Linked DNA regions of Drosophila melanogaster. The protein of the gene in region 3 interacts with the protein of the main gene of each other region in a pairwise test. Each region holds a gene or a part of one and is shown on either strand. Other genes may lie near its edges. The genes, in order: TfAP-2, CG32354 and twz.

Region 1 (9,633 bases), on a different chromosome or scaffold from region 3:
TAATAATTAAATTAGCACGTGGCTTCCATAAGAGCAATCACGTCCGGATTCCTCGCCGATGACGTAATGACTCTGGATACTTATACAGTAGCAGTGCAATGGACAGGAGCTGGCCTCGATCCCGGCATGCCGCTATTACCAAAATTGCCGGTCCAAATCATTCCGCCTGGCAGAAGAGTGCCCGCCCAAGAAAAGAACATGCCTGCGCGATTCGATGTTCGCATTTTTTTCGGCCACTACCTGGTCTCCGGGTTTTGGATGCCACCAATTATATTGCGACATATAAAACAAGTAGGCCCTAACATCTTATAAAACTCCTCACTTTCATCGTGTGGACCAGTCGTTTTAATTACGCTGTCAAGTTGAATGATGGTGGGCTTCCAGGAAGGGGAGGAGGGCATCCCTCTGGACCTCAATACTCTGGAGGGATGTGACCAGGTTATATGGAAACATCGAGTGGCGTAAGGACCGCCTTGCGGCCATAGAATAGGCCGAGTTCATGCGGGCATTGTCATAATATTGTCAGTAAATAAAGAATCCATTCTGCGCATTTCGGGCGCGAATTTACATATGGTCTGCACTGGCCATCCGCGAACCGGCAGTACAGTGGGTCCCTAAGCCGCGCTCGTTTCCAATTAGATTACACACTCGTTCGACGTCCGGTGCTGTCATTTATTGGAACTGCAAGTTGGAACTGTCGGAAGAGCTATAAATTAAACGAATTTAAGAGGAAGCTTCGCTCCAAACGCTGCATATAATATTCATAACAACAATGGAAATGTTCAGCGGACGATAATCGATTTCTGCTTATTACGATTCTTGCAGGTACTCCTGCCCTGCTCGTCCTCCTCCTCCTCCTGGCTGCGCACGCGCTCCAATCCGCAGAGCTGGAGCTCGGCTGGATCCTCAGTCTCTTCCTTCGGCTCGAGCTCCAGCTCCAGCTCCTTGGCCCTCAAATGCGCGGAAGAGCGGAGGAGCCCTTAATGAAGTAGTAAAACCCATTCATAAATGTATTAAACCTGCTGGGTATTTGCGGAGCCTGCTCGGCCAAAATCGAAAAGCTGCGTCCCATCTTCTAGCGTGCAGATGACGAATAGAAGAACGACGAGCCGAAAGTGCCCACTTGGCGACCATGCATGTGCACTGCGAGAAAAGGTCGAGAGTGTTGTAAGAGAACCACTTTGTTTATGGGCTGCTGTATAGTATGCAAATTATACGATATGTTACATGAATCTCCGTATATAGTATTCACTACTAATTATACATAGGACTAAGGTTACTTCGTTCTGCAAATTGAAATATGACCATGCGATAAACTTACATATATGTATTGCTTTTTAATACTATATTATACTATTATAAGATAAACAAGAAATATTGGAAACTATGATTACAAGAACTCCACATGCACTGGCATTGTGATCTCCTTTTGAGCTCCTCACAACCCAATGATTCTCCCTGTGTAGCTTCTTCCGAACTCGACTGAGCTAAGCTCGGCTCGTCCGTTTGCAATCTGCGTCCAAAGGGCCGGCTTTCGATGCAGCAGCCTCGTGAGCCAACTGCAGGTCTGGCCTCCCCATCCTCCACATTCTGCCTCCGAGGAGGCAAGGCCAACGCATGTCGGCCAACCGATGATTTCGCTCTTGCCTTGGCTTTTGGCATCGGACGAGGATGTGGATGTGGTGCTTTGCACGGCTTTGGTTTTGGTTTTGGTTTGCCACGAGCCTAACACACGCCGTCCACATCGTCGAGGTTCCGACACTTGATTCTGGATTGTGCTGAGGATCTTGGCCACGTTATGAACATTTACATTTATCTTGCCAATCAATTTGGTTTTGTTTGGACTTTTTAATTTCCTCTCCGCAAATGAAATCAATTTTGATGCGTGCATATGCAATTCCAGTTTCCTCCGAGGATGTATCTGCATGTCTGTGGAAGCGGAAATGCCTTCCAGCGGATGCAAAGGACTCGGAATTATCTCGCCCGCACTGGCGAAATAATAAATATGATATGCGAATATGCAAATATGAACACGGATCGGTCTTACACTCTGATCCTATCGAAATTGTTTCATTCATCTTATTGCGAGTTTCCTCTAGTTCCATTTATATAATTTACTTTTAATCAAGACTATAGTATTCCTGCATCTGGAAGTGGGGGAAAGTTTAATGGCGCTTATTCATTTCTTTATGCAATCCCTAGCCCTGCGCACAATTACCATACCAACATGCCTCGCAATCCTACAAAGTGCACATTGTAAATTGGAACAATTATTCTAAATTATAAAGAAATTATTCAATAAATCATAAGGGAAGCCATCAATCAGGCTTTGAGCCCGAACCTCTTGGATGAAACGGAGTTTGGCTAATAAATAAGCCCAATGCTGAATACTTTTTGATATTTGGGAGCTGGGCTATGGGAACTTTTCTGCCAGTCTGTATGGCATTCTTTTTTTAGTTGGCGATCGCACGCAAATTGACGATGCGTTGCGCTTCAATCTCATAAATTATTTTGGCAACGCATCACGCGAGTGTCCCAGTGGGATCTTACCTGATTTGGGAGTCTTCGGAGTGCCAGGGACAGGTCCAGGACCAGTACCAGGACCAGCCAAACCAAACCAAACCAAAACCAAAGCTAATGCCAACACACTCGACATGCCCACTTTGCTGGCGGGACTCGGATTTTTGTGGGCGATGACTTTTGGTCTACCTCTTCGCTGTGTTTTTGTTTTGATCTTTGGCCCTTGCCCCGCAAATTGCCCTATTTTTTTATCGGGCATCGAAAAAGTTCTTGGAAGCAAGAACACCATATAATTTCGCTAATTAAATGGGGGAGCGTGTACCCACGCATTTCAAGAATTCCTCCATATTCGCATTTGAATTTTGACCACTGACGTCTGATCACTCCCACCGCCGTCACTTTTTGCTCTCTGCCTCGAAATCGTGAGTGCATTAAATGTAGGACCTTTTTTACTTTCAGATACGGTTTCCCTCCCATAACGCACATATTTGAAACAGCCAAACCGCTTAATTTGAGGCTTATGTCTGATGATACAAATACTAATACTAAGAGTACAAATCTTATAGAGACTTTAATCGAAATAACATAGAAAGCATAACATGGCTTTCTCTCTTGGATTTACATTTACAGTTATAGATATTATAAACGATCAAAGACTGTAAATATTGTACGATAAATTTGTATATGAAATTTAAAAGAAGATTAAAAAGATTTCAAGAATCATTACTCTAAAAACAGTGGACTTCATACACATACATATACATATGCTAGCTACAGTTTTAAGGTTCGTCTTTCCGACGGCTACTTTTGCCGTCTTAAAAAATAAATGATTCCAAATTGCCCGTTCAAAAAACAGAATAAAATTAAAAATGAGTGCAACTAACATTGCATCCTTTAAGGGTATGTTTCTCAATTACAAGTAAATAAAATAAGTTAACAGACCCATTGGCTTTTTCAATAAGATTTTATATTCTTTAGTCTTGTCGCCCTATAATATTTGAATAGAGAATTGCATTTAGTAAAGAGTTTTCAGCCCAAGAAAACCTATAAGGATACTGGGAAACTAAAATTAATACTTTGATACTGATCGAACATTACCTAATCTGAATACGAATATGCACATTTGATTTCGATTTGGTCCATTTGTGTCCAATGCATCTCGACTAGGATAACAAAAAAAGCAAACTGACTTCTTGAATGTCTGATTACCATAAACAAACACCGTTTGTATTCAGGTTTTAGATCCTGACTTTAATAAAATTTTTAAATAGACTCCTTGAGGTTTAAGACTGCCTACTTTAAAAAGTCAATTTAAATTTGAAGATGCATTTTCAAGGTTTAAGACCTCTAATTACAAGAGAATTGCATGCGCCTGTGATCGCAGTCTGCTTTCGGGGCCCCACACCCTCTTGGGCACTTGAGTGATCCCCGGACTCTTGGAGTGGGCACAATCAGGTTGAAGTTTATGTACTTATTATTCCCAGAGCAGAGTGTGCCACACGGAGTCGCAGGAGAACCCATTACTGTAAATTGCTCATTGATTTTGCTGCTAGAATGGCCCGGAATGGTAATCAGCTTGTGTGTGAATGTGAATCACGGGCGCAGATCTCTCGGTCCGGATCGCTGGCCAATGGTCGTAATTGGCCAATGGTTTTAAGGCTTGCGTGCCCCAAAATGCCCAAAGAAATTTCAGTGTCAATCAAGCTCGTCCGCCCATGGGCACTCGATGGTTCAATATCTTTGAGTATTTTGAGTAGCTAAAGCTGCGCCGATGCTCGGGCGGGGATTAGCCTGGGCAGATTTCGGCTGACAGACAATTTGGATAGATAGACCCGACCCTCCTCCGATCGAAGTATCCTGCAAAAGGCGCGCAGCTTACCATCATGAACTTCTGATCCTCGAACTGATGGTCGTTGGTGCGGTGTAGAATGTGCATGTTGATCCAAATTAGACGGCGATATCAACTAGTTGGAGAGCATAGGTTTTCTTTTGAACACTTGGGCCAGGGCCAATGCAAAACAGGTACGATCACTAAATAAGTATTTATTGAAAATCGATTTTTGGCACTGGTTAAGGCAACTGTGGGTGCTGGAGCTAGAGTTCCGTATCCGCCGCTATATACACTGCACTCTCCCCGATTGAAGGACAATAGACGTGATTTAATTGTATTTGAACTAATTTGCAGTTCGGATCCACGATCGTTTCGGTTCGGCTAGGTGCGGATCGGTTCGGAACGGAACGGAGCGGTTTCGGTACGGTTTTGGTTCGGTACGGTTCGGTTTGGTTTGGTTTGGTTAATTAAGCGAGGACCCGCAATCGAAATTCCGCCTTTGCGCAGCCACCAGACGTAGTTCTCGACTGAAGTTGGATTTTCTGGTTGGACGCAAAAACCTTCGGGGGATGTGCGATGTTGCCGCTGCTGCTGCGGCGGCGGCTGCTGCTGCTGCTGCTGCAGATGCTGCTGCTGCCGCGGCTGCTGCCGTTTTTTCTCCCATACAGCTGCGAAATACATAGGAAAAGTGCCCAAAGCCTATGCCCGTGCGCCGCGCGTCTGTATGGGTGTGAGGCGCACACAGATACGCCGGGCAAGCAGGTTTTCTGGCTTTCGGGCATCGAAGAGCGGCTTCCGAAGAGAGCCCGCCGCCCAAAGAGAGCACAGCCATTTATATTTCGGAAGCCACGCCCCGCCAGCGGACTACTAGACAATGGGCCGAGCCCGAAAACCGAAAACCCAGAGGCTGCGGCAGGCAGCGCAGCTCGCGTACAGACACACAGATGCGGATACACAGCCACACTGCCAGATGCGGATGCTCGCGAGATGCGAGTGCGATACGGATACGAATACGAATACATAGGGGTGGAATCGCATGCGAATGGCCGGGGTTGGCGACGCACCCGTGCCCCGAGGGTTGCTGGATCTCTGAGCCCGGGCTGCTACTGGGAAAACCCCGGCATTGGACGCCCAAATCGCCAGTGGTACGTGCTCCGGGTTCTTTCTTCTCTCGGGGATTAAGCGACCCACCTATGTATGTATGTATCTACGTACTTATCGAACGTTCGGGGGTTGCCATGTGAAAGAGGCTGTCCGCCCGATTTACATATTCTACATAAAAATCTACCCATATATGTAAGGGCGTGAGTGTGGGTCCTTGCTCGCCATAATCAAAACAAACTGAAAATAGCAGATTTTTATTTTTTCTATGGCTGTAGCTTTCGAACATTTGAGGGTAAAATTTTTGTAAACGATTAAACAAACGGAAAATCAACAGCAGGCCACTTCGCATGCTTAAAGATTTCTAATTTACAAATTCCCTTTTATATATAACACGATAGAGGAACTTAGGACAATTAAAGCACTCTTTAAAATTAAAGGTTCACTATAAACAAACTATTTTGGCTTGCCAATGAACTTATAACAAGCAAACTTCTTACTTGTGTCCCGCTTTAATAACCTTTATCTAAATAGTATAGTTAGTTTTACAACGATTATAATTAAAAAAATCGAAACAAATCAGAAAATTAATTTAAGGACAGGTGCTTCACAACTTCAAATCAGGAACACTATTATGTTTCACTAACTTCAGAGCTATAGAAGTTACCCATTCTGATGTTTTTTAAAATTAAATATTGATAGTTAACTAATTAGTCAATTATTTGTTAGATTTTTATAAGTACTTCATGAAACAATTATAATAATAACAAAAGTCAACGACTTTTCATATGCGAAGCCATAAAAATATAGTAATAGAGATGAAAATAAGGAAAAATTTTGGATGGCAAGAAAATCGATTATATGATATTGTTAAGGCATCGAAATACTTTTTGCAAACTTTAGTTCATTACTCAAACTCATGAATATAGCAATAAGGTAATGAAACATACTGAAAATTCTTATTCGTCAATATTGTTTTGTGTCAAACTATCCAAAAATATGGACTTTGCAAAAAAAGTTTAATCAATTAACATAAAATACAACCATTGCCACCGTTTAGACCAGCAGACCTTTTTATAAGTTACATGTGTTAGTAGGCCATAGAAATCAACAAAGTTGGTTAAAGTGTGAAAGTTGGGTTAAAAAGGCGCTGACTTAGATAAGTCTTGAGCACCAGGAATAAATCTTTAGTATCAACGTGGTGTTCTGTATGAATCTCCATCATTTGAATTCCTTGTTCTATTAACCACGCTGAAAAGCTGAAAGTAAGCGTCGCAATCCTCAAGAGACATTCATTTCATTTATTCCTGCTTTGTTTTCAGGTTACACAATTAGATCCGCCAGTAAGCGGGACAAGGATTAGCGGCTGTGGAAAATTGAATCACTCGGCGGATTGCCCAACCCGAGCTTTGAATGTTTGTCCGCCCCAATTGAATTATGCCATTAGCTTTCTAAGTGACTCAAATGGATTCGGGCTCCTATCTTCTGTTGCCAGGGGAGCAGAGCAAAGTTCAGCCGAGAAAGAAGGAGCGAAGCTCGGAGGAAAAGTATATCGGGCACGCAGTCATTAAGTCCGAATTTGTGGCAGGGCGAAATGAGATGTGAAACCGTGATCTCGCCGACTGCACATGCACATTATGTACGCGGAGCCACTCACGAAGCCACCTCGGAGGAGCTGGCCAAACAGTAAATTTCGTGGAGTGGAGTGCAGTGGAGTGGAAGCGGCGATCAGGTGCATTATCCAATTGCGGCGGTGGAATGCCGGACGACCCACCTCCATTTCAGCGATTTCATTGCGGCGGCACGACTTTTGATTGCGGCCACGACAAGAGAACGATCGATCGATCCATCCATCCATCGATCGATCGATCGATGATCGGTCCGCCATTTTCAGACCCGATTCGGATGCCGAGGCAAAGCCAAAACCGATACTGATACGGATACTGATACTGATGCACTGCTCGCATTACCAATTAATTCCCAGTCCTCCCCGCAGCACCGGGCATAAATCGTGATGCACAGTGGTCCGTGTGCCCATGGTAAATGCACCCAAGTACACCTCTGTGCAACTACCAACTACCGACCCGCACACCTACACCATTGCAGCCACAATTACATCCACGTCCTCATCCACATCCACATCCCAACCCATACCAGTGCACTCCCGAAAATGGCAGCTTTCTTTGAGCCAGTCATAAGCTGGCTCTTAACCGGGAGGCTCCTAACCCAAGAGCCGAGGAGCTGGGGATCGCAACTGCCCAAGAGTGGAGGACTCGGCCTGAGCACCTCATTTAAGATGCGTCTTAAATGCGATCGCCGGGGGGAAACTCGTGAATGCCGCAGGACTTGCATGACTACTGCCCAGACTTGTGGCTTCGTGGCACTTACTCCGACTTCAAGCGACTCCTTTAGCGGCAAGCCGCTCTTTTTGGTCCGCCTTGCCGGCCGCAGACAAGTGCATTCCATTTCAATCCATTCCACATGCAAATCACAATCAGCTCTCGAGTGGTGATTTTCCGAAAATTTTAACAGACGATGTGCAACCAAAAATGTAATTAGATTGTAGCATGGGAAATAATGTTGAAAGGTATTTACTTTCTTAGGCAATTCAACAAAAATCATCACTTTTAAATCTAGTACTGAGATATATTTACTACAATACAATCTTTTTAAAAACCGTACACTTGAAGATCTAATTACATTTCTGAATTTTTCGAAAGAATTTATGTACATATATGGTGTAACACCACGATCATCTATTGCTTATTCGATTGATCTCCTTCTAAGATTACACACAGACAGAAGTAAGTATATATTCGAATAAGTAGAATATAACCCAAAGATTTATTCTGAATAAGCCCACTAAAAATTCCCCCGCTCACAATGCATCTAGAAAAATGTCTAATTAACGAACGTAACTTTAGAGCAGAAGGCCCTTAAATGGAACAATCCCTCAGAGCGAAAGGAATAGGCACTTCCAGGACAGAGCCTAAGATTTCTAGGGGTTATGGCTAATGGGACTGCTTAGACCTCATGGATTTCTGGACTGGACTTGGGCGGGGGGAGCGGCGTATGCAAATGGAGCCCTTGTGATTGAGTGTTTGTATCTGCAACTACCTCGCCATAATTTTCCGCATTCACTTGGGCTCGGAGTCCAACGCATGTATATGTAGTACGTAGCCCTGCTCGAATACTCGAGTGTGGTAATATTTTGAAACAGCCCCGGGCCATTTCGTTCATATTCGTTAAGTCCTCAGATGCAGGCAGATTCAAATTTCGGGGGAAGCCAAAAGCTGCGGCTGTGGCCCGCTTGCGATACACGAATGCGAATCATCAGCGACATGGTCGTGGCCCATGGCCCATGGCCCATGGTCGCTTCTTCGCTCATTCGCCAGTTCGCCAGTTCGTCCGTTCGCCAGGTCCTCCTTCCTCTTCTTCTGGCCGGTCTTCCAGCAGCAGCAGCGCAGGCCCAGGAAAAGGCTCCTGCTCCGGCTCCTGCAATGTTGCACGACGCCAATAGCCGCGGGGAAGATAAGCGAGTGAGCCGCGCTCGTCGCAGTCCTGGGTTCCTCCAGCCTCCTGTCCTCTACTGCTGCCCAGCTTTTGCCCCTACCTGCACTGGAAAAAAACTGTGACTGGCTAATGCACGACATAACATGAAAAGCGTATATATGTTATGTATACGAACTAACTCAAAATCTATTGTGATAGCCTGAGCGGGACAGTGCACCGCTTATTTCTTTCAGTGTGCCCCAGCTCCGACCGAGGTTCTCTGTGCGGCGGTGTGTGCGTTTTCAGATGCAGTTGCAGCAGGCGGATGGCGAATGGCGGATGGCGGATGTTTGCAGCATATTTCCTACGGCTGTGCTCATGTGCACCTTTAATCCGCTCTGTTTTTCGCAATTCGGCGTACGAGCAGATAGGCGATAGAGCGCGGAGCACCAGGGCGGACCATTTAAATTCGAGGTCAAAGGAAACGCATTTGCAGCTGTGTTTACCCACCGTAGATTGCGATTGCGTACATAAATTGCGAGCATATCGCTCGCCTGCACACACACACACACACTATCGAGTGAAAGGATTATCCTAAGATAGCCCAAAGTTTCAGATACCGATTCTTTATTGATTAAAATAATCTATGCCATTTCGTAATACTTGTAAATTAAATGCATTACATTGAA
Region 2 (12,858 bases), on a different chromosome or scaffold from region 3:
GCAGAAGTCGAATTGGCTAATCCTGCATAGTTGGTAGAAATTCCTAAATGCAGGTGCGTTGTTTACACACAGATTCCATGGCAACCAACCACAACAAAAGTTGGCGTCTTGGCTGGAGATGGCAGTTTGGCGGGTTTTTCCGTTAGTTTTGGCTTTTAAAACTAGGACTTGACTAATAAACTAGTACTAGTAGTAAAAACAATTTATTTAAAACATAGCCTCATTATCGTTTACCTAATTGTCTAAGTGTACAATATTTAAAAAAAGTTTCTATTACTATCTGAAATGACCGTTATAATTTTTTTTTTCGTGCAAAGTAGTTGGCAACGCGGTAATTGACAGTATGACCAAAGCCAGTGTGCATAAATGCCTAGTTTCGTCAAAACAAAATAAAATAGAATTGTTTTTTATATCAGAACTATTGTTTGTTTTTAAAGGATTTTAGCTACATATACGCTTGAAAATGAACAATTTGGACAGTTCATTGCAGGCGCACAATAAATTGGAGAAGGTATGTCTAGTTGTCATGCTCAAAACCTCCATACTTACCCATTTTCCTCATAGGAAGCCACCAATTTAGCTCTGCTGAAAGATCGAGTGGATAAATACCATGATCTGTCCACGCAAATGTCCAGTATTCTAACAATCTTCGAGAAGCGCCTGGGAAACCTGGAGCAGACCATATTGCCCGTCTACCAGGAGACGGAGCAGCTCCAGAAACGGCAGCAGAGTATGAAAATAAACTCAATGGGATTTCAAAAAAAAAAAACTAATGTGTCACCGCCTCTTTTTTTTTTTAGATCTGGAAGCTACTCTCAATTGTCTGGAAAGCGTCCTGTCCCACTACGATGTCTCCCAAGAGGTCTGCCAGTTGATTCATCAAGGCCCGGTGGAGGGAAACATCTCGGTGTTCCTCGACGCACTAGCCAAACTGCGCGATGCCAACGATTACTTCCGGCACAACAATTCCCAGAGCGTGGAGCTGGAGAATGTCACCAGTTTGTTTAACACCGGCTGCGAAGGCCTGAGTCAGCACTATAGTATGCTCCTCAAGAAGCACAGTGCTCCGCTGAAGCCGGTGGAGTTGCTGGATCTTATCTACATAGAGGACGATTCCAGCGATGAATACACCTCATTCCGGCAGCTTTCGCAAACGACGCGCGAGGAGCTGTACACCATATCGCACTGGTTGGAGCAAAATTTAAGGGAGTACACAAACATCTACGCGACGGAACGGGGCGAAGTGGTTCTCCGATCGCTGCAGCTGCTCAAGGATCACCAAAAGAGCAACAGTTGGGGTCACGAGGCTCTGGTGAGTAAACAGTTCTTTCATATTCTAACTAGTATTAATACATATATATTATGTGGAGAAAAATAGTACGTAGTAGAATATGAATAGCGATGTGTACGATGATGAGCATATGTATGCTTTTCCCATCTCTGATCGTTTCGGTTAACGGTGTCTGTTCGAAAAAGCTTGTGCATGTAAGCATTACATGTCCAATTCGATGACCGCCATTTGCCAGCTTGAATTCGCAAAGAACGCATCATTTTCTGTGTCACAGTATCTAAAAAAAATGGAGAATTCTCGCACGCCCACGAACAAGACCAAAATTACGCTTAATCGCACGCCAACGCTAAAGGAGCGCAGATGGAACACCCTGAAGGTGAACACCTCCAACGTGCGATGCTCTACTCCGATCTTTGGCAACTTCCGTTCGCCCAATCTCTCGCCCATCGAGAATATGGGCACGAAGGGGAAGAGTCCAGTGTCGCCCATGCGGTTCGCTACCTTCAAGAAAGTGCCAACGAAGGTGCATCCCAAGCAGCAGCAGCAGCAGCAGCATCAGCACTGCCATCGCACTCAGCTTAAGCCCCCGCCATTCGTGCTGCCCAAGCCGCAGGAGGAGATCATCGAGCCGGAGCGAGAAATAAAGAGCTGCAGCAGCCCGGATACCTGTTCGGATGACTCGAATATGGAGACCTCACTGGCCTTGGAGTCGCGTCGTCGTTCCATCAAAGCATCGAACCACTCGTACGTGGTTAACCATGCCGCCAATGTGGAACAGATTCTCATGCACATGGGCCTGGAGAACTATGTGACCAATTTCGAAGAGGCTCACATCGATCTGGTGGAACTGGCATCCTTGGAGCGTGCTGATCTTGTTAAAATCGGCCTAAATACCGATGAGGATTGCAACCGTATCATGGATGTGCTCCACACTCTTTAAGTGAATCGCTGGCATGTCCATCTTTTATCATACACTAAGATTTTAAAATGTTTTATGTGAAGAGAAACTTTGTGATTTTAATATATGTGGATAATTAAGTAGGTATTCTAGAATTATTGTAAAAGACCTGGTGTCTTAAAGCTCGTCGTTTTTAGCCTTAAATAATAAACTCTAGTACACTTTAAGAATCTATGTAATTCCTAAAATGTTGCTCCGAAGCTCATTTACAAATTTAAATTTATTTCGTAAGCTAGCAAATTGCATAATACTTTTTGTCAAAAAAAAAAAAAAAAATTGGGGTATAAACGCTTTTGTAAAACACACATTTTTAAAATTAATAAACTCATAAGAATCAAATGCATATTAAAAGGTTACAAAAATAAGAGTTTTTAATTTGCTACCATTTTAGTACCTTAATTATTCCGAAGAAACATTAATGCAATGGCAATTAACAATTCAAATTAATGTTTTTAAAATGTTTTCTTGCAGAGACCGCGACACAGTGGACGCCAAACGGAGCCAAAAAAGACAACCTCCGCTCGTCTTCAGCAAATGTGAGAAATATTACTTAATTTCCAAGTTTTCGTATATGATATATTTAATTTATTCTGCATAGATTCGAAAAGAAGGCGAACAAGTTATATTTACGCGCGACGCAGACGATTGAGCAGTCCACAGGGTTCTCCATTAAGAAGGCATCATCGCACAGCGACCACCTGACCTCCGAGGATTTGATGGATGGCGATCAGGAACTGGACAAGTATCTGGTCATGTTGCTGGGACTGCAGCGGTTACTTAACTGGGAGCGAGCCATCATGATCGACATTATTCCCCAGTCGAAACACAACGAGGTATTCGCCACCTTGGCCTATAATGCCATCGATCTGGTGGTTAAGGACGCTGAGGCCATTACGCAACGCATCCTGCGCTGCATTTCCCGCAAGGAGTGGACCTCGGCGTTGGGAATATTCTCCGCCCTAAAGCGGGTTATACTGCTGCAGCCGGATATTGACCGCACATACGATCCTGCGCAAAGGGAACAGTTGAAAAAAGTACTAAAAAAGTTGCAGCACACCGGTGCCAAGGCATTGGAGCATTTCCTGGACGTAGTCAAGGGCGAATCGAGCACCAATATTGTGGGCCAAAGCAATGTTCCAAAGGATGCCACCGTGCACGAGCTGACCTCCAATACGATCTGGTTTATTGAGCACTTGTACGATCATTTCGATGTTATTGGTTCCATTTTGGCACAGGATGTCCTGTACTCCACGCAATTGGACACCATTTTGATGAAGAAGGCGCTGCCAGTCGAGGAACGCAATAAGGCGCTCTTGGCGATTTACATAAGTGAGTGGCAACAAGATCAATTGTGCGAACATTTTTAAACCACTATCTATATTTTGCAGAGAAAGCTTTGGCCGAACTGAATCTTTCCATAATGAACAAGTGCGAGCAGTACAATGACCAGGCCACCAAGCACCTCTTCCGACTAAATAACATTCACTATATCCTCAAGTCGCTGCAACGCTCCAATCTTATTGATTTGGTCACCTTGGCTGAGCCTGAGTGCGAACATAGCTACATGGAGATGATACGTGAACTGAAGGCTAGCTATCAAAAGACCTGGTCCAAGATGCTGGTCGGCATCTATTCCTTGGATGAACTGCCCAAACCAGTGGCCGGCAAGGTCAAGGATAAGGATCGCAGTGTGCTCAAAGAGAGATTTTCTGTAGGTTTTTATTTTTAAAATAAGCTAAACTTTCTTGATTTAAAAAAAAACATCCTCTATAATTTCCAGAACTTCAATAAGGACTTTGAGGAGGCATGCAAAATCCAGCGGGGCATCTCCATACCCGATGTGATCCTGCGAGAAGGCATCAAACGTGATAATGTGGAGCACATACTGCCCATCTACAATAGATTCTACGAAATGTAAGCGTATATAGGGTTTATCAGCTTATACCTAACCATCTTGTATCATTTTTAGTTACTCTGGAGTGCATTTTAGTAAGAATCCCGACAAATACGTCAAGTACAGACAGCACGAGATCAACGCTATGCTGAGCAAGCTCTTTGATGATTCGGCTTAGATGTTAAATGCAGGCCAGGCTTTAAGTGCATTCCTTGTAAGTTCGTTGGGGGGCTTTAATTCAAACTCAATAAATATCGTTTTAAAAAAAGTACAATACAAGACTATAGCCTACAAATATTAAATGCCAAGTGAAATGAAGACGCCACGCATACATACGTCCTAGTAAAGGAAGTTAGTGGATGGTGCTTCGGGGCGGCCACAGGCGCCGTAGTAGTTGACGTTCACCGTCTGGTTCGCCCTGCAGTTTTCGATCTCCAGGAAGCAGTCGTTCAGATACGTTTTATTGTCGCTGCCGCAAACAGGCTCGAATTCCCTGGGACAGATGCGGGCACATCCTTTAAGCTGAAAGGCGGCAAGGCAGCGCTTCAGTGGCACCACGAAAACATGCTTGCCACAATTCTCCTTGCGCATGTGGCACTCGGACTTGTACAAGTTGTTGTCCGATCCGCAGACGAAACTTGGCGGCTGGGCATCACAATCCGATTCGCAGTCGGCGGTTAAAGCGCAATTCTTTAGCGAAACGGGCACCACACGCAGATCGCAAGTGCGCCGCTTGAACTCGCACATGGAGGCGAAGGTGTTGCCATCCGAGCCGCACACTGGCTGCTGTTCCAGATCCGCCCGAGTACAGGCATCCCCGCAATCCTTGGTGGGCGAATTGAGATCCGTGCAGGGACCAATGTGGGCCAGATTCACGCCGCGTCTGAAAAGAAGTTGAAGAGCTAGATCCATGTCCTATGGATGATCCTATCATGGATACTCACAGGCAGGTGGCGTGGGCCAGTTCGCACTCATTGTTATAAGTCTTGGCGTCCGTGCCGCAGAGCTTGTCATTTCGCTTCGAGCTGAAGATGGAACCGAACAAGCTATTGAAGTCCTTGCAAGGAGGCAGCTGTTTGCAGCGGGTCAGTCGATTCTTGCACTTGTCCATGCTCACTTTTTGAATGGACTTGCGCTGTGGACTGAAAGATAAAATTTTAGTCTGGTTATATTCCATTTTTATCTCATCCAAACTCACCCGCAATTGAGCATTTTGAGTTCACACAGCGAAGAGTATATGTTGCCATCACTGCCGCACACGTACTGCGACGAGGAATCCGTATCCGATTTGGGACACTCCGTGGGACAGGCATCGGAGGCTCCGTGCCTCTCCTGCGACATGCAGTAGGATAAGGGAACCTCAAAGACGTGCTTGCCGCAATTGGAAGAGCGCATCTTGCACGGACTGGCATACAGTCTGCCATCTGATCCGCAAGTGGGCCTCGCCACACGCCAGCAGGATTCCCTGCACATTCGTGTGGACTGACAGTGCTTCCGGCTGGTTTTCACCACACCCTGTCCACACGTCTTCAGCTTCATCTCGCACGTGGAGTTGTATACATTGCCATCCGATGAGCAAACTGGTCCATCCTTCGGCGCACTGTTGCAGTCAACCGGACAGGACTCACGCACGGCACTCGTGTTGCTGCAGGGACCCACATGCGATAGCTTCACTGCAGCCAATCCCACGCGACACGATTGCACCCTCAGCATGCAGCGATTCAGATAGGTCCTTCCGTCTGTACCACACACTGGATCCTTCTCCGTGCTGCAGCGGTGCTTGCAGTCCGAACCCTTCGACCTCTCGCAGCCATCCCGCACGTCCTTGATCAGCGACACTCCACTGCGGGAGCAAGTCTTCTTGCGCAGCTCGCAGATATTCGCATAGATCAGACCATCGCTGCCGCACACGGGCTCAGCTCCCACGGTGATGCTCGGTGGACAGGATCGAGGACAGTTGCCGGTGCCGGTGTTACTAGCCCTATTCCGTCTGCCCATCTGTGACAGCTGCTGTTGCTCCGTCTCCTCGCGCAGCAGCGACTCCAAGGCAGCTGCCGCCGCTCCGGGTGCCTGCATCAATGTGGACGACAGCTCCGGTCGCGCATCCTGACGATAGTTGATCAGCAATGAGTTGGGCGCCGCATCTGCACTGCGATAGCGGATAACTGGCGCCTGCGCCGGCAGCCGGATAATCTTGATGGGTGAGTCTGTCACAGCGCCTGTGGATGGAAATGATTTTAGAATTTAATTGGTTTCTATCTAGAAACTTAATTCTAAACATTTAAAGCAAGACAGTAGTTCCTCCTCCTCTGTTATATGAACTTATTAAACAAAGCTTAGTAATAATTACTACTTCCCCGCACGTAATGACCGGTTGTCCATCGAATTTTCCCAGGGTAACTCTGTTTCGAGACCGCCAAATGAAACTTTCCCTTCGCATTTTCCACAGCTCTTTAGCGGTGGCATGCGGAAGAGTCAACTGTGGGCATACAAATGTCAGATTAGCCGCACGATCATAGGGCATTTTGCGCAGTTGTGACCCACTGTGTCCATGCCGCCACCCGCCGACACTCCCCCGCATCCGAGACCAGTCTCTGATTCTGGAGTGATCGCATGACCGACTCAAGTAACCAGCCATTAACTTGAATAATTCTTTCCCTTTTTACTAACGGCAACGGCAAATGTTACCCGTCTTCAAATCTCGATTCCAAGTAAAACGACACAATGGCATTTATGTTTTGGCTGTGGTTTGAGCACAGCTAATACACTCGCTTCGTTCATACGGACTATCAGCGACCTCCATCTATAATTGTTCATGCTAATCCCCTCCAGAAATCGTAAGCTTAATCTGTGCTAAAAACTGCAAGTGAAATTTCCACACTAATTGCCTCCGGCGCCGAACATTTCTGTTGTCTTTGGTCGGATGTGGAACTGCTGGTTTAGTTTGGGTTGATTTGTCCATTTTTCTTATTTTTTTTTTTTTTTTTGTTTGCAAAGAAAGCTGTGAGAGCCGCCTCCGGAGGAAGCACTCAACTTAGTTAAAGATATACGAACGTAAATAGACATACCCAACAGCAGTAGAAAATCTATTAGCGCTCTTTGAGGCTGCCACACGATGGTTTGGCTGCGATAATTGAACCCACGTTCATTATTCCAATTTGCTGCTGCCGGCCATAAAGATGGAAATTTCAACATCCAGCCAGCCAGCCAGTCAGTCAGTCGAGCAGACGCATTCTCAGCTTAATGGACTCGGATGCTTCTCTGGCTGGATGCGAGTCCGAATCTGAATCGGAGGCATCGGCATCCAGAGGAGCCATTAAGCGCGGAGAAAATTAAGCGGCGTTAGGAATTAATGCACATGTAAACGATCCGCTGGAATGGTCAGAGGCAAAAGCCGAGACCACAGCCAATCTCATTCAGCATTGCAGCAATGCGACCTCAACCGCCCCACCCACTCTCACCAATCCTGCACTGGCAGAAAAGTGTGGTACTAGTCCTGGGATAAACTCAGAATCAAATCACTCATGCAAACTAATGGTACAAACTTATACAACACCATACACCATACTATTTTGCATTTTAAATACACCTCTGATTTACTGATTTCCTTTTGTTCATATGTTCTGCTGATTTCTCCCAGTGCAGGTGCATTTTCCTGGCCTCCAGCGAATTGCTGGCAGGCTCCTGCCTATCGGATGCCATCAATTGCAAAAAAAAAAGGCGAGAGAAATAATAAAAGCAGCCACCGTATAATTTTCAAAAGTGGAAAAATCCAGCAACCAACGCACTGCACTGCTGGGCAGGGACTTTTGCATGATATATACTGGGTATGTACATATATATATGTACATATGTACATACATATCTATATATGCACATGGAGCACACCATGTGCACTCGGTTTGCTCCGGTTTGGTGTGGCACAGTGGCGAGCAGCGACATGACCAAGCCCATAGATGAATGAATCACGGCGCCACTGATTGGGGCCATTAAAACATATATGTACATATGTACATATATATGTGTATATGCATGCGAGCATATATCACAGCATCCAAAACTAATTGATCTTTCACCCATCAATCTCCGATGAAGTGCGGTTATCAATTAGCCAAACGATCGCGCTTACAAGTCAAATAAATCATTTCGCTTCGGGTCAACTTTAAACGATGTAACCCCCCCAATTGACCCCCAACCCTTTCCAGCTCGCTGCCACTGTGCGGTCAGCTTGATTTTCCCCCCCCCCCATGAGCTAGCGATTCGCCCCTCTTCCACCAGCCCCCCCCCCCCCCTACGTTTTCAGGCCCCCGGCTTCTGTTTGGCCCCTTCGTGCTTTTAATGAATTTATACGAATGTTGGACAAATTGTGCACGAAAATATTTACGAGCATGTTGTGCGTCGAGGAGTGAGTGCCTCAAACTGGGGAGTTCGTGGTCTAGGGGGCGGTGGGGGGAGAGGTGTTGGGGCATTGGAAGCTTCGCGCTCGTGTATGTGTGCCAGTTTACATTCACTTTGTGCGGAGTAGTACCTTAGAAATGGATAGTTGAATAGCTGCTGCGACGGCCTTTCTACCACCGCACAGCTGTAGGTCTTAGATCCGGACCCCGATTCACCTTCTCCGTTTCAACACCCGGAGAAATTAGGCGGTAATTGAGACGGCACTCACTGGGACTTGTCCAGTCTGTCTGCAACTTTCATTTAGCTCAAGATCAGTTGCCGTTTTCCGCTGAAGAACTCGGGTTTCCCTAGAACTCTGTCCGCAGTTTTAACTGCAACTCAATAACGATGTGATAGTTAGGAGAAAGTACATTTAGCAAGAGGAAAACTAATACCCTTTGAAACTTGTATTAGGCCCTTTTAAATGTAATGTTAACTAATCTGGATTTAAATAGAGCATTCTTTACTTTAGCAATGGCTTAAGAGTTCCATAGTCAGTTTTCTCTTTTATGATTATATTGGACTTAATGCTCTGCTTAAGGAACCTAGTTTTATCTTAATCTGATTTTAATTTAGTTAGGAGGAACTTTGCTGAATCTGAATCAACGTATACTTCTTTAGCTGATTCATTTCTTGAGGCAATTAAACAATTTGAATAGTGAGAATGCCAGGAAAGAGATTCGAATGATCTAAGACTACTTCCTGTGACTTTCTACTCAACGTGTAGCACCAATTTTGGGATTTCTCGCAGTGTACGACTTACCACTGGTGGTTGACGCAAATGCCGCCAACGTGAACATGGCCAAGAGTGCGCCAAACAGCTGTCGCTGGCTCTTGGTGCCGCCAAAGCTGAGGCCCAGACTGGGGCTGTGGTTATGGCTGCATCTGGCGATCTGGCTTGGAGTCTGGCCAAGTCCGTGGGCCTGTGTTTGGGTGGCGTTTGGGGCGGGGGGCTGCAGATGCAGATGCAGATGCTGTTTGTGGTGCATTTTCGCTGGCTGTCTGCTGCACTTTTCCTATTAGACGCTTGATGATTTGTTGTTGCCGCTCGGATCGGATGCGTGCGTGATGTGAGACTGAGGCGTGCGGCGCTTTCGCTCGTTAACAATTGAAATTGAAATAGTAGCAAACTTTTATGCGGCTGCGGCTCACGGTGGATGAAAGTTTTTTTTTCTCTTCCTCGGTCGATCTACCAGGGAGATAGAGATATAGTGGTGCTATATAGTATATGGACTATATAACTGCTCGTAATGGCGCTTAAGCTGTTCGAATTAACGGTAATCTTGCGGTCATTTGGGCCTGGCCTGCTCTTCTTCTTCTTCTTCCTGCTCTTCTTGTTAACCGATGTCGTTGTGTTGCCTTCTCTCTCTCTCTCTTTAGCGCCCTTTTACGAGTTCATTCGTTTGCCTATCAACATCAAGCTCCCGTGTCTTACGCTGTCTTCTGTCTCTTTCGCTTTTCCCTTTGCCTGCCGGGCACTTGACCTTTTCACACAATCGCACAATGGAGCATAATTTCTTTTTTATCGCCTTGGCTTTATGGCTTTTTCTTGATGTTTTGTGGATTTTTGCACGGCCCGCCTTTAATTTGATTTCAATTACTGGTTCTGGTAAGGCTTTATTTTCCTTTTATTTGCTTTTTATAACGTTTTTCTTTTTTTTTTCGTTTCTATTATGCGCACAAAACAATTCGCTTTTGTCCGTTACTCTTTTGTCGTTTGAATTTGACTTTGATGCGCGCTCTTCGAGTTTCGATTCGCATATGAAAAATGATCTGTCTTTCGGATTTCGATGCTGCTGCTACTGTTCTGCCTCGGCCGATGCCTCCGCTGACGCCTACTGCGACGCCGACTGCGACTGCAACTGCGGCGATTGCATTTCGTATTTCATTTCTTCTTTTTTATTGTTCTCGAATGAATGAATGAATGAATGGGCACTAACACACTCGCGCTCGCATCCGATTTGTACAATTCGTATTGTCGTCTTTGCCTCTGTTTCTTTTTTCGCCTTTTTAACTTTTTTCTTAGGCCTTTGTTTAGTGCGCTCTAGAGTCGCTCTGAAATCTCGGAAAGCTTGGGCTCCAAATGCGACTGGAAGGTTTGACAATGCGCCGACGAATGGCAAAAAATTTGCAATGAAAAGAAATTTATATGGGTGAAAGGCAGCGCAGTCGGCGACGGCAGAGCAGAGCATCCAGCGCTGTTGTTGTTGCAGCTACACTCGAAACAATTCACTCATCTTTTGAATACTAAATCAAGAGTATTTCCAGTTAGGACAAAAAGCACCGCTTTCTTTAAGTTTTTAAAGTTGAAAAACAATGAAAAAATAAAAATATATATGAATAATAATAAAAAAGTTATAATGTACAATAACAGCAATGGTGGATTGTAAAAGGATACAATTCAAAGATATGCATGTCTGTGCAGTTTCAAACTTTCAAAATGTAACATATATTGAGAGCAGTAAAGAGAGCAAGTAAATTTAAGTTAAAAATGTAGTCTAGTCTTGATCTTTTTGAATAGACCTATATTTCTTTTTAAACTTTAACGGTTTACTACCACAAGTTTTTCGAGTGCATTGTTGGGTGCCGGGGCATATTGATTAAATGGAGTTGTTGGTATTTAAAATAACAACTTGGTCATGTCTGCCTGGCCTAATCGGTTTTGCGTACAAATTTAATTTGCCAAAAGTGGCAGCAAAATGCAGCCAAAAAGGCGCGCCGCATTTGAAATTATAACTCACACACTCGATTCGATTCGATACGATACGATTCGATCGGATCAGATGCATCCACATCCACGTCCGTGCTCCCCCAACATCTCCGATGCCCAAACCCAAGCCATACCATCCCACATCCAATATACAATATTCACGATCCGAGTCCACGATTCAGTTGCAGTGGCATTGGCATTGGCAGTTGCAGTTGCAGTAGAAAGTGCAGCCTGGAAGCTGTGTTTATAGACTTGTAGACTTTAAAGCCATAAATTTTACGCCTCAGCGGCCGTTGCGAATAAGGGTCACACACACATAGCCTACTATCACCTTGCACAGTGTCCTGATGCCAATTTAAGGTGCATGTTTACTAATGCATTCACACAAAAATATTTGATTTTGGCATAGTTTAGCTATTAGAGCTTAGACCTTATCTAATTGTCTTAGGTATTATATATTTGATATAATAATATTTTAGTTAAGTAATTCTAGCTTATGTTAAAAGGAATACAAAGTAATGCTACCCAAATAAATAACTTGCTAGTAACATAAAAAATGAAGTTATATTTTAAACTATAAATAGTAAGTAAATAAATGTTCTTAAGCAAAACATAATCCTTAATCTTTCATGGTTCGGGACATATGAGCTTTAAGTTAATATTCAATCTTTTTAAGAATTTTAATGTTGCTTTTTTTTCTTACGAGTACTTTCCCTTAAAACTTTGTGCAATAAATCATCATTTTTGGGAAATGCGTTGTGGGTGCTTAAATTCCACATGTTTTGGAACCACTGTGCGCTGGCGGTGGGTGGAGGAAGGTGAAGAAGCAGATCATTGGCGGCGGAGTCGCGTGCATTAAAGAAAATTGAGTGGAGGTGGAGGTGGAAGTGGCCGTCGCATGGGAAAAGAGGTCAGTAAGTGAATGTTTACAGTTAGCTTTTTGGGCAGATCAGAGAGAGCCAGGTCCAAAACAAAACCAAACAAAACAAAACAAAACATAATGCCGAGCCGATCTCAGCTCGACGGAAAAAGCCAAACTGCATATGACAGGCGTGACTCGGCTTTAAGCGCCAGTGCCCAGAACTAATACCCCAAACACGACGAGCTGCAGATCCCATAGAAATGAGGGGGACAAACCGCAGGAAAAGACCGCCAAAAAAAAAAAAAATAAATAAGAAACTGAAAACAGAAGAGCAAAATTTAATTAAAAGAAAGCCAGGCTGGCGCGGAGACGTAAAAACCTTTTGGCAGCCGTGCAGTTTCTTTTTTGGCCAAATATTTGACGGCGCTCGCCTGCGGTTGCCAATAAAAATGGAAAGTGAAAATTGCGGCTGCAGTGGCAGTGCATATTAAAAAATAGAAAGATAGAAACAGCCGTTTGTGTGCGAAAAGATGGCCATAATAAACGATAGAAGGCCAAAGCCACGCACCAGTTCTGCGGGTTTTCTTTCCATCTAATCACTGTTTTTTTTTTTTTCCCGATCGCCAACCAAAACCAGTGCGAGTATTATATAAATAATGCCCGGCATGCTGGATCGGCCGATAAACGGCGGAAATTATATGGCAAG
Region 3 (9,866 bases):
CAAATCAGGATTCGAAAATGATCCTGAGCCGGAGTCGGAGCCGCAACCGAAACCGAAACCGATGCCTCATGAAGCTGTCAAGCGCCTCGACTGCACTTAATACCGTTTTCTGACTGCCGTGAATTGCATTTCATGTGTCAGCGTTTTTAAGCGCTTTCAGCCCGCGGCATTGGCTCGGTTCGGTCTGCCGATTTGGGAACCTACCTCCCTCCCTCCCTTCCTCCCTCCATTGACGGCTAATTTGTAAAGTGAACTGATGGCTGCGCTTCCCCTAAACGCGAGCTTAGCTCAGCTATTTAATAAGCCAACAATGCGGGTAGTAAATGCGAAAAGAAATGCCAAATCCTTTGGCCCTTGAACTGCCCTGGGTAATGCGATGAGTTGCGATGACCTGGGATTCGGATTGGGATTGGGATTGGAATCGGGATTGGCCACTGTCGGAGGTTGGAGGTCACAATCAAAGTAGCCTTGCAGCAAGGGTGCGCTAGGAGTCCACAGTGGGCACTGGCTATCTATCATTCTGCATTATTGCAGAATAATGGGAAGATTACTTGAATTTATAAAGTGCTTAAATCTAGTTAAGTACGTAAGTAAGTTACACGTTTAATGCAGATACTATGTAAGTTACTTAAGAACTGTAGGAATTAGATAAGTTTACTCCTATATAGCTTACCAGTTTTTGGAAGAGTTCTACCATTCCTCACCTGGCAGATATCACTGTACCTTTTACACGTTGGTTTCAAAAATTCATCATTGTTGGCTGCTGCTGCATTGTTGCCAAAACCCGCTGCTGCTGCTGCTTCTGCCTCTCCGCCGTCCTCCCCCACAGCTTGCCGCTCCCCGCTGCTCGTGCAGCACAGCTTCCCCACTTACCGCAAACCGAAACTGACTGATGCCTGGGAGCTACTTTTGGGATGAAATATTATAATTACAAGCGAATGTCCTGCGGCCAAGGAGGAGCAGGAGCAGATGCGGTGCGCGGCAGGGGAGGAAAGGGGCTCTGGTTTCCCGGAGGGGCGGACGGAACGGAATGGGATGGTATGGAGCGACATCAGCCAAGCATCAGGCAGTTCAAATCGCAACTCTCGCTCGCTCTCTCTCTCTCTCTCTCTTGCTCTGTTGCTGTTTCTGTCGCAGTCTGTGCTTCGGTGTTTTCGCCCTTGGGACATTCGCATTCGCATTGCCCCACACCCGTGGCGGCACCCCTTGTTCTGCTTCTTCTTCAGTTGCAACATGTTGGAACGTTGTGTTTATATGGTCTATCCTGCCGGCAAAAGGATAATTTAGATGACTGTGATAAGCCTTGAAAACTGGTTTCAATGTTTCCAACATGTTCGATGCGGCAACAGTTAGGAGTGGGTGGTTGTGGGGCGGTGGGTGGTTGGCAAGGTGGCTGATTAGTACGTAAGTGGAGAGGCTGGGGGACGGGGTCTCACCCGTTATTAATTGCAACTGAATGGCTTGCAGGTATTTATTAAGTTTTTGTTCAATTTCTAAAACTGGCATTTCCATGAGGCTTCGTCCCATCTCATTTTCACTCATTTCATTTATATTAATTTAGTGTGCGTCACACACAAGCACACACAATCATACACATTTGTGTCCTGTACATACGGCTGTCAGCTTTATTGAAAATTAGCCTGCAGTTAATTTAGCATGCCATTAAATTTCTACATGCCCCTTGTCGTTCTGGGCCCAAAAAGTAATGCATGCAGATTATAACTTAAATATGAAATGTCAAGCATTGACAGGCATTTTTGAAAAGTGTGCAGCAGCAACAGCAAGTTTTACACCTCGGGGCCAATCCGTTTATGGTCCGGAGTCGGAGTAGTCGGGGTCTCCGAGCTGGAGAGATGGATATGGATACGGACTCTCGGATCAGCATCTCACGCCATGGGTAGCCATTGCCACAAAAGGCAGGCCACAGCAGAAACAGGAATTTATGAGGCCTTTTGTATTTGCTCCGAGGCGAAAGTGTTCAGGGGGGGGGGGGGGGGGGATCGAAATTTGGCTGGAGCTGGGGATTTGGGATTGGTACTGGTACAGGTATTGGAACTGGGACCGGGCTGGGAAATGGAAACGGGAAAGGTATACGGACTCGAGACTCTTTGGAGTTGACAAGGGTCACATGCCAACTGGAGGCAGATGCGAAAGGGGCGGGCTGCATTAGTTTTGTTTCAACTACCAGAGGCCTAAATAGTTTATTGCCTAATCAGTGTGAAGAGAACAAAGAAATATTTGAGTATTACAATTAACACAATTAGCAGAGAAAATATTTAAGTCTGATTTTTAAGTGTTTATTTTATTTATTATTCATATTTTACTTGCTTATTTTCATTCTTGCTGATTTTTAATAAACTTATTGCTCAAGTATAGCAAGCATATAAACTTCTTTCCCAACTGGGATTTAAAAAGCTCACCCCATTTGAAGATCTTAATCGTCGGCGTTTAACTGTTTCCCTTTTGGGCCAAAAAGTGAGCAAAACAATTACAAACTATCTGCCGCACTACAGTGGCTCCTCCATTTGCTGAACAACTGATTCAATTCAGTGGACTGGTCGCGGCTTCCGTTTAATTGTGTGGCTCACACGCATTCTGCACGATTTTTCCCCACAAAAATCCCCAACCCTTTCACCTGCCGTCCCCTTCGCCTAAATGCTCGAATGCAGTTCGTTTTCGTGTGTGTGAGTTTGGTTGAGTGTGTGTGTGTGTGCGTGGTAGTGGGTGGTTACTCCTCACGTGTAACAGATGTCTGTAAATTGCTTTACTGACTGACTGACTCGCCAGTTGGCTGTTGGCGGTCGCTTAACTGCTGATGTTGCTGCTGTTGCTCCTGTTTGGTTTGTTGTCAGTCAAAGTGTCAGTATGTATGTGGCTAGCTTGCAGGTGTGAGTGCAGGTGTGACTGTGTGTGTGCGTGCATGTGTATGGGTGAGCATTGCACTTATAACTGCATTAATACGAGCTTATGGCTCACAGAATCGGAGGACCCATTAGTTATTGCTGCTGCGGCTGTTGTTGTTGGCCCAACATGCCACACACACGGCACACGGCGATGGCATTGCTTACAGGTGTGCGGCATTCGCAGCTTGTCAGTGGCCGCGTTTAACGCTACACTTAAACAAACAGCCGCGTGCGTCCACAAACATCGTACACATGCAACCGCTTACGCACACTTGCACACTCACACACACACGCACACGAATGGCGGCGGAAGTAAGGACAACAACAACAGCAGAAGGCCAGGATGTGGCCGCCTATTAAGTGATTTTAACACTTTGCGCATGAAAATTGCAAAAAGGCAACGGCGCGGCGTTGATAATTATCCCTTAATTGCTTAATGAGCGGCACTTGAGCAGCGCCGTCGACAGAAGCGACGTAAGTTTAATTAATGCCAATTTAATTACCACGCCACACACACACACGCACACACACATGAAAGTGGACGCATTTATGGGCTACTACTTACCGTTGTGTGGCACTTAAAAGCCGCACTTACCGCATAGAATTCTCTCACACTTTGTAAGTGAATTAAAGGCTTACTTGTTGTATATCTTAATCAATCGGATATGTTAAAAATATACAAGTTTTTCATAGCTAATTAGTATTATACAAATATTTAAAGTCTTGAATGCTAGGTATTCATGCAAATTGCTTTTCTTTCTACCATTTGAAATGCAATTTTCCAAAAATTCAAATATCTCGAAAATCACCATTAATAAACACTAATTGCTCCCACATATCTTGTTTATCTAAGTGAGCACTGGTTTATAGTTTCGGCCAGAGCTTCGGCCGACTTGTTTCTGGCCTCGAAGTTGGCCGAATGTCTCTATTAGCCAGGGCCATAAGTTATTTGGTTGTTTGGCTTGATTAATGTTCACCTGCCTGTGTGTTCCGAGGAAAACTTAAATCGAACGATGGACTCGGAAGGGGGACTTACTATTCGTAGCAGCCATTCGGACCTCGCTTTGTAGATTGTCAGTGGCAGCTTAGTTTTCGCTCAACCCTTTTCCATTGCCTGCCGGCCGGGGGCAATCTCTTCTTCCAGTGATCTAATCTTGTTATTGCCCTGACCGCCGTCTCCGGTTCCAGGCCGGCATACCCATAAAGACATACACATATAAACATGGACGAGAGTGATTTAGCTGATGTGCCAATTCAATTATTTCTACCTACATAGGATTTTTCCACATGGCACCGGCAAAACATATAAACACCGATAAATGCCATACATACAACAAGCCATGTGGCATATAAAATAGTGAATGTAATTTTATTCACATGTCTGGCCGCAGGCCAATCCGCTTTGCCCGCCGGCACCAAATTGCACAGCAACAGCAGCAACATCAGCCACCCCGGAACCACACGACGCACCTCTCCGCATCTCGGGTGTCGGTCTTTCTTCGGTGTATATATAAATATGTATATATATATATATATATATATGCCACATTATATGCTGGGTACAGGAAGGGGAAAGGGGAGCGGAGCGGACCAGAGAGCTGAAATCCATCATTGGCGCATGGCCCCGGGTCACATTTGGGTTGAAATATTATAATTACAAGCGAACGCCCGCGGGCAAGGCGAGGAGGAAGGTGAACCGAAGCTGGAGCTCCGGCGTCGAACATTGGCATCGCATCGCGAGCTTAGCTTGGCTAACAACCACACTGGAACAAAAGTCGGCTGCTTAGATAGGAAATTAAAGTATTTCACTGAGAGCAAATTTGAAAGAGTTGAGACCAACTGCTGTCCAAGATGGACTGCCAGTTACAAACAGACGCTTTTAGATAGTTTTTTCTTTCAGTGCATGGAAGGGGGTTGGAGGGAACGGGCCAGTTGGACGGGCGATCGAAGTCGCCTGCTGCGGATATGGATACTTAGTTGTGGTGGTTGTGTTTACGTTGCGGCTGATAACATCCCGTTTTGCTGCTGCCGCCGTCGCTGCTGCGCCAGATGTTGCTGCTGCTGCTGCTGCTGCTGCTGCGGCTGGCGTCGTGCCCCATGTTGCATGCAACACGCTCGACGGCACTCGGCACTTAGACCCCAACGAGCCCCCCCAAAACAGTCTTTTCTCAACGGTGGTTCAGTGTGTTTGTGCCGATGGTGTTTGCTTTTGCCTTCGACAACGGCAGCAGGTGAATAACAGTGTCTCTGGCTATTGCCACATGCTTTTTTGCGTTTGTTTTCGCCCAGCCTGGTAACTTGTTGCACGGCACGTGTTTGGACAACTGGCCGGGTGTCCACATTAGTGGGCGGGGCAGCTGCAGCGCAGGATAACAGAAAACAGAGATGAGTGGCATATAATTTAAGAACAACACCGAGTGCCGGTGCCGTTTGCCTATAATTACCCACAACCAGCTACCAACTAACTGGCCAAAGAATCACAGTTTTTTTTTTGTCCCCCAAAATTCATCTACATACATACCAATGCACAAAAATACACATACATACATATGTACAAAGTCCGGCAGCAGGTGACAAGCAGTGTGAAAAAGCTGGGCGCTGGTACCCTCATTATATGCAAAACGCTGCGTCAGGGCCGCCAGCCACTCAAACTTAACTTATTTTTAACTTGCATATTTTTGCCCATTCTACGGCATTACCTCTGCCACTGCCTCAGCCAGTGCCTCTGCCTCTGAATGTCCTTAGGCCATCTTAGTTGCATGTTCGAGCAATCCTTTCCGTTCCGTTCGCTCGTTCCACCCCAAGAAGCTGGAAATAAAGAACTGGTCCTCTCCCATTCATAACTCGCGGCTATATCTTCTTTTGCGTTATATTTCCCTCATTCTGCTTGTCTCTGGGTATCAACTGTCAGTTTTCGAGCTAAAAACGCCGCCGGCTTAGTTTGTAAATCATTAAAATTATGCACACACACACACACATGCCTCACATCCGCACACACTTATTATGTACAATATGCTAGACTGTGTGTGTGTGTGTGTGTTGGGTTTGGTTGGAGAAGTTGGCCAAACTGCATAGGAATCATTATGCAGTTAATGACAAATGTCACGCATTGCTAATGACAAAAGGATGTCGGCAATCGACTCCAGAAGAGGCCCCTTTCCGTTCCACTTTTGCCCCCTCAATTGAAAGGCACTCTCATTTGCGAGAGTCCAGCTTTCACCGACCCCAAGAAATTGGTAAACAAACTAATAAACATAAAGCAACAAATACAATTCAGCACAATTTACCAAATACGTTGCATGAATAAATATTAATCCTGTGTTAAACAACCATATTTTATTTAGTCACTCCATCATATATATTTATTTTTCCTTTTGGGCAGATTATAGTTTGTTTAATGCATTTTATACCCACCTTTTTGTATGGGCTTTAAGGCACTTAAGTATTGCATTAGAATTAAATGGTGCATTAAAAGTATTTTGGGTCAAACTGAAACAATTGAAATAATGTCAACTGCATTATGGCATTTCGATCGAAACATATTTTTAAATCAAAGCCAAATCCTTTAGAATATAACAAATTCCCAAAAACGTAAGCTTAGCATAAATGGCATAATATGAAGGACCAAAAGGATATTCAGTGGTTATTCTTCTATTGATAATTTAATCAATTTAAAGGACAGCGAGTGATAAAAAGGACACAGCTTTAAAAGCTAAACAAACACCTCATTTTGGCACGCATTGCCTGTAAAATGATTACCATTCAAATGTTAATGTAAATGTTGTGCCACATATGGATGAATTGATGGGTGAATGGGTGGATGGGTGGATATTTTGATAGGTGGATGGGTGGATGGGTGGACGGATGGATGCCCGAATTGCTGTGATGGTTGATATGTGGTCGCGCTTGCTGCCACTGCCGCTGCAGTTCGGTCGTGCGTTAAAAATTTAACACGAATTTCAGGCTGCGGCGGCAAAAATGGCATCATTAAGTAAAAGCCCCGCGGCCAGACATTGTGAATTTTATGAGCCTTTTCATATATATGCTTGTGTATATATGGGTATGCTATATATGTTTTTGTTGCTTCCTCGCTGGGTATCGTTAATAATAAAAAATATATGTTCGCTTGTATGTGTGCGCACCCATCCACACATATACATATATACATACTCGTATATTTTAAAGCCCATCATACACATTTGCCATTTGCCCAGCCTTGTGATGATGAGTGTGTGCTCACATAAATAATAGTAATAATAAAAAATCACAATAATGATGATGCTGATGCTGATGGTGTTGGCGGTCGCGGGTGGCGTAAAAAAATCTGCGGAAATTCTCAGCATATGCGATGGCATTTAAATGTTTGTGTTTTCCCATTCAGCATTCAGTATGATATTGATTGACAAGCAAATGCACAAGCGTTGAATAAATATGCAGGCGAGTGGGCGGTATGCCCGCGGGAGGGCGTGGCGAGCGGGCTACTTTAAAAAGCCATCAACAAATAATTACAAACGAGCGCGTAGGAAGTGTATAAATGTCGACGCTGATTTCTGAGCTGATCCGCGGATTCTCTTTTACTACAATATATATCTTTCTATATATATCTATATATATGTATATACATATGTACTTGATGTATGTGACTCCTTGCACCCATATACACCTACCCCCCACTTCGCCCGCCCACCCCACTGCACTGCCCCCAAGCGATCCAAACAATAAAGCATAAAGCGCGCCGCACACATTTTGTCGAATTATTTTGTTGGCAGTCCGCTGGCGGCTAGCTGCAGCAAATTGGCTTGAAATATTGGTATTGCCATATGTATGAGCTTGTGTATGAGTGACTGAATACGTACGACTCTGCCTCTCTCTCTGTGTACGTGTGTATGTGTGTGTGTGCGTGAGCTTGTGATTAAAAAAATATTTAAAATGGCAAAAACGCAAAGCGACGTCAAAATAAAGAAGCCCGCTACCCCATTTTGCCGCTTGAAACAATAAAAGCCCCCCCCCAACAACCCCCCACAGCATTTCCCATTCCATTTGAGTGAGTGAAATGAGCGATAAAATTGCAACAGTTTCCACTCGTCGTACGCATTTGCTGCGATAAAGGATGAAAAATTGAAATGCCACTGCTCACGCGAAACAATTAAAATTTGACATGTTTTATTGAACACTTTAATGCCGGTATTATTTGCAGTTGGCTCCTCGCAATTTACGTGTGTGTGTCCCTAATTTATATAAAAAAAGTAGTAAGCTAAAACGTTTAAAGGCTATCGTGTAAAAAGATATAAAGAAAATCCCTTCCTTATATATATATATATATTTTTTTTTTTTGCTTACCTGCTTTAAGCTGGCATTCAGACACACGGTACACCATCTCTATGGCAGATCGCCGATTCTGGAAATATAGCGAAATATTATTGTGGCGCATGTACTTCAAAATGAATATGGCCGGGGGACAAATAAGCGAGCATTCCGAAACAATTGCCAATGAAAAATGATGCGACAGAACTCTCGGCTTGGGCGGAATTTTGGCCACCACCCCCGCGGGCGTTGCGTTCTCCAGCGGGCGGGGGTGGAAAGTTCGCACTCATTTTAATTACAGCTGCCTAACTGCAGGCCTCACTGTACTCGCTCAGCTCCGTCGTCTCCGCATTCCGCACACCCCTCGCCGCCTCCATTCAGCTTGTGTTTTGAAACATGGCCTGGGGCGTATTTATCACAAGTTTTTCTTTGCATTGCCGCCGGGCAGCAAAATATTTCAGCTGCCTCCGTCGCAGTCGCTCCTCGAACGACCCCGGGGCATTCCAGGCGGGCTCAGCTCAGCGCCCCAATGCTCCGTTCTTCGTGCTTCGTACCGCCGTTGCCGTTGCCGTTGCCGATGGCGATGCCGGCGGTTCTGGTTCTGCTTCTGCTTCTTCAAAGTCTCTGGAGCTGATGCCGCACAAAGTTTCATTTCGTTTGGCCGCGGGGCGCAGCGTTCTATGCTTTGTCATTAACACCAACACGCACACTCGTACACCCGCTCACGCACACAGAGGCAGTCGCACCAACACACTGGTGTCAGCTGTACATGCACCCACACACAGGCATACACATGGCCAAGGGCAACAAAAACAAACAGGCTTTGATATTTACAATTATAGAAAATCGACCATATAGAGATGTCCCCCATGACGAATGCAACTTTTGGGTTAAATTAGTGTATGCACTTGCCAAAAAATATTTTCAAATTTTGATCTATTTCAGAGTCTTTCATTAGAAACTACATTTATGAAATATTTTAAAATTCTGTAAGCTAGAAATTAATATTTCTTAATTTTTAAAACATAACAATGTTTTTCGAATGCTGTAACTCTAATTTAACGAAATAATACCAAGCAGTCTAATTCTTCTATTTGCAGTTACATTGTTAATTGCGGCAGATTAGTTGCAGGCCACAAGAAAACAAGAACAACAAAGCCAGATCGGACCACTTAAACCGGAAATAGACCATTAAACGCTCGAACAAAGGCATCATATGGTGGAAAAGCCAAGCCGCTAAACAACAAACGGCGCTCTCTATCTCTTTGCCGCTGCTTCTGCTGCTGCTGCTGCTGCTCTCTCAAGGTCGTCGGCTCAGACGCCAGCGCCGACGAACTTCACTCCACCCCCACTCGCAACAAGACGCAACTCGAGCCGCAACACGCAACATTGGGGAGCCGAACCATTGGCCATTCACCATTCGCCATTCGCCATCCATCAGCCAGCGAGCTAAATCAGTATTCGAGCAACTCTCGACGCGAATGCAAGTGAGGTAAATTGCCAGCGCTCAAAAGTAGGCAACACTTAGGTCTAACGGTGAACGGTGAACAGCGAACGGTTAACGTTTAACGGTGTGCGTTGTGTACGGCAAGCGGAAACGGAAGTAAACACTCGTTGGCGCGCGCTCATTTGATTGAATTTGAAAGGGTTCAACCGAAA

The links.
Region 1: the proteins of twz (region 3) and TfAP-2 interact in a two-hybrid assay, tested with the Drosophila melanogaster proteins (one large-scale study listed by BioGRID).
Region 2: the proteins of twz (region 3) and CG32354 interact in a two-hybrid assay, tested with the Drosophila melanogaster proteins (one large-scale study listed by BioGRID).

What each region holds. Positions count from the first base shown.
Region 1 is NT_037436.4:21,594,105-21,603,737, reverse strand, and holds the start of TfAP-2 (transcription factor AP-2), read right to left. Parts: upstream 4,883-9,633; 5' UTR 4,457-4,882; coding exon 4,400-4,456; intron 1-4,399.
Region 2 is NT_037436.4:8,411,498-8,424,355, forward strand, and holds CG32354 (uncharacterized protein), read right to left. Parts: upstream 10,709-12,858; 5' UTR 9,570-10,708; coding exon 9,344-9,569; intron 6,363-9,343; coding exon 5,342-6,362; intron 5,286-5,341; coding exon 5,088-5,285; intron 5,027-5,087; coding exon 4,483-5,026; 3' UTR 4,360-4,482; downstream 1-4,359. Other genes in the region: Exo70 (exocyst 70), read left to right, coding at 464-511, 565-730, 801-1,312, 2,721-2,785, 2,848-3,578, 3,638-3,960, 4,030-4,163, 4,219-4,321; mtrm (matrimony), read left to right, coding at 1,578-2,231.
Region 3 is NT_033778.4:21,571,250-21,581,115, reverse strand, and holds the start of twz (tiwaz), read left to right. Parts: upstream 1-5,080; 5' UTR 5,081-5,134; intron 5,135-9,307; 5' UTR 9,308-9,688; coding exon 9,689-9,699; exon of another isoform or gene 9,700-9,866. UniProt on the Drosophila melanogaster protein: Functions with the transcription factor TfAP-2 to regulate octopamine neuronal signaling pathways that control behaviors such as male aggression, male mating, and the initiation of feeding.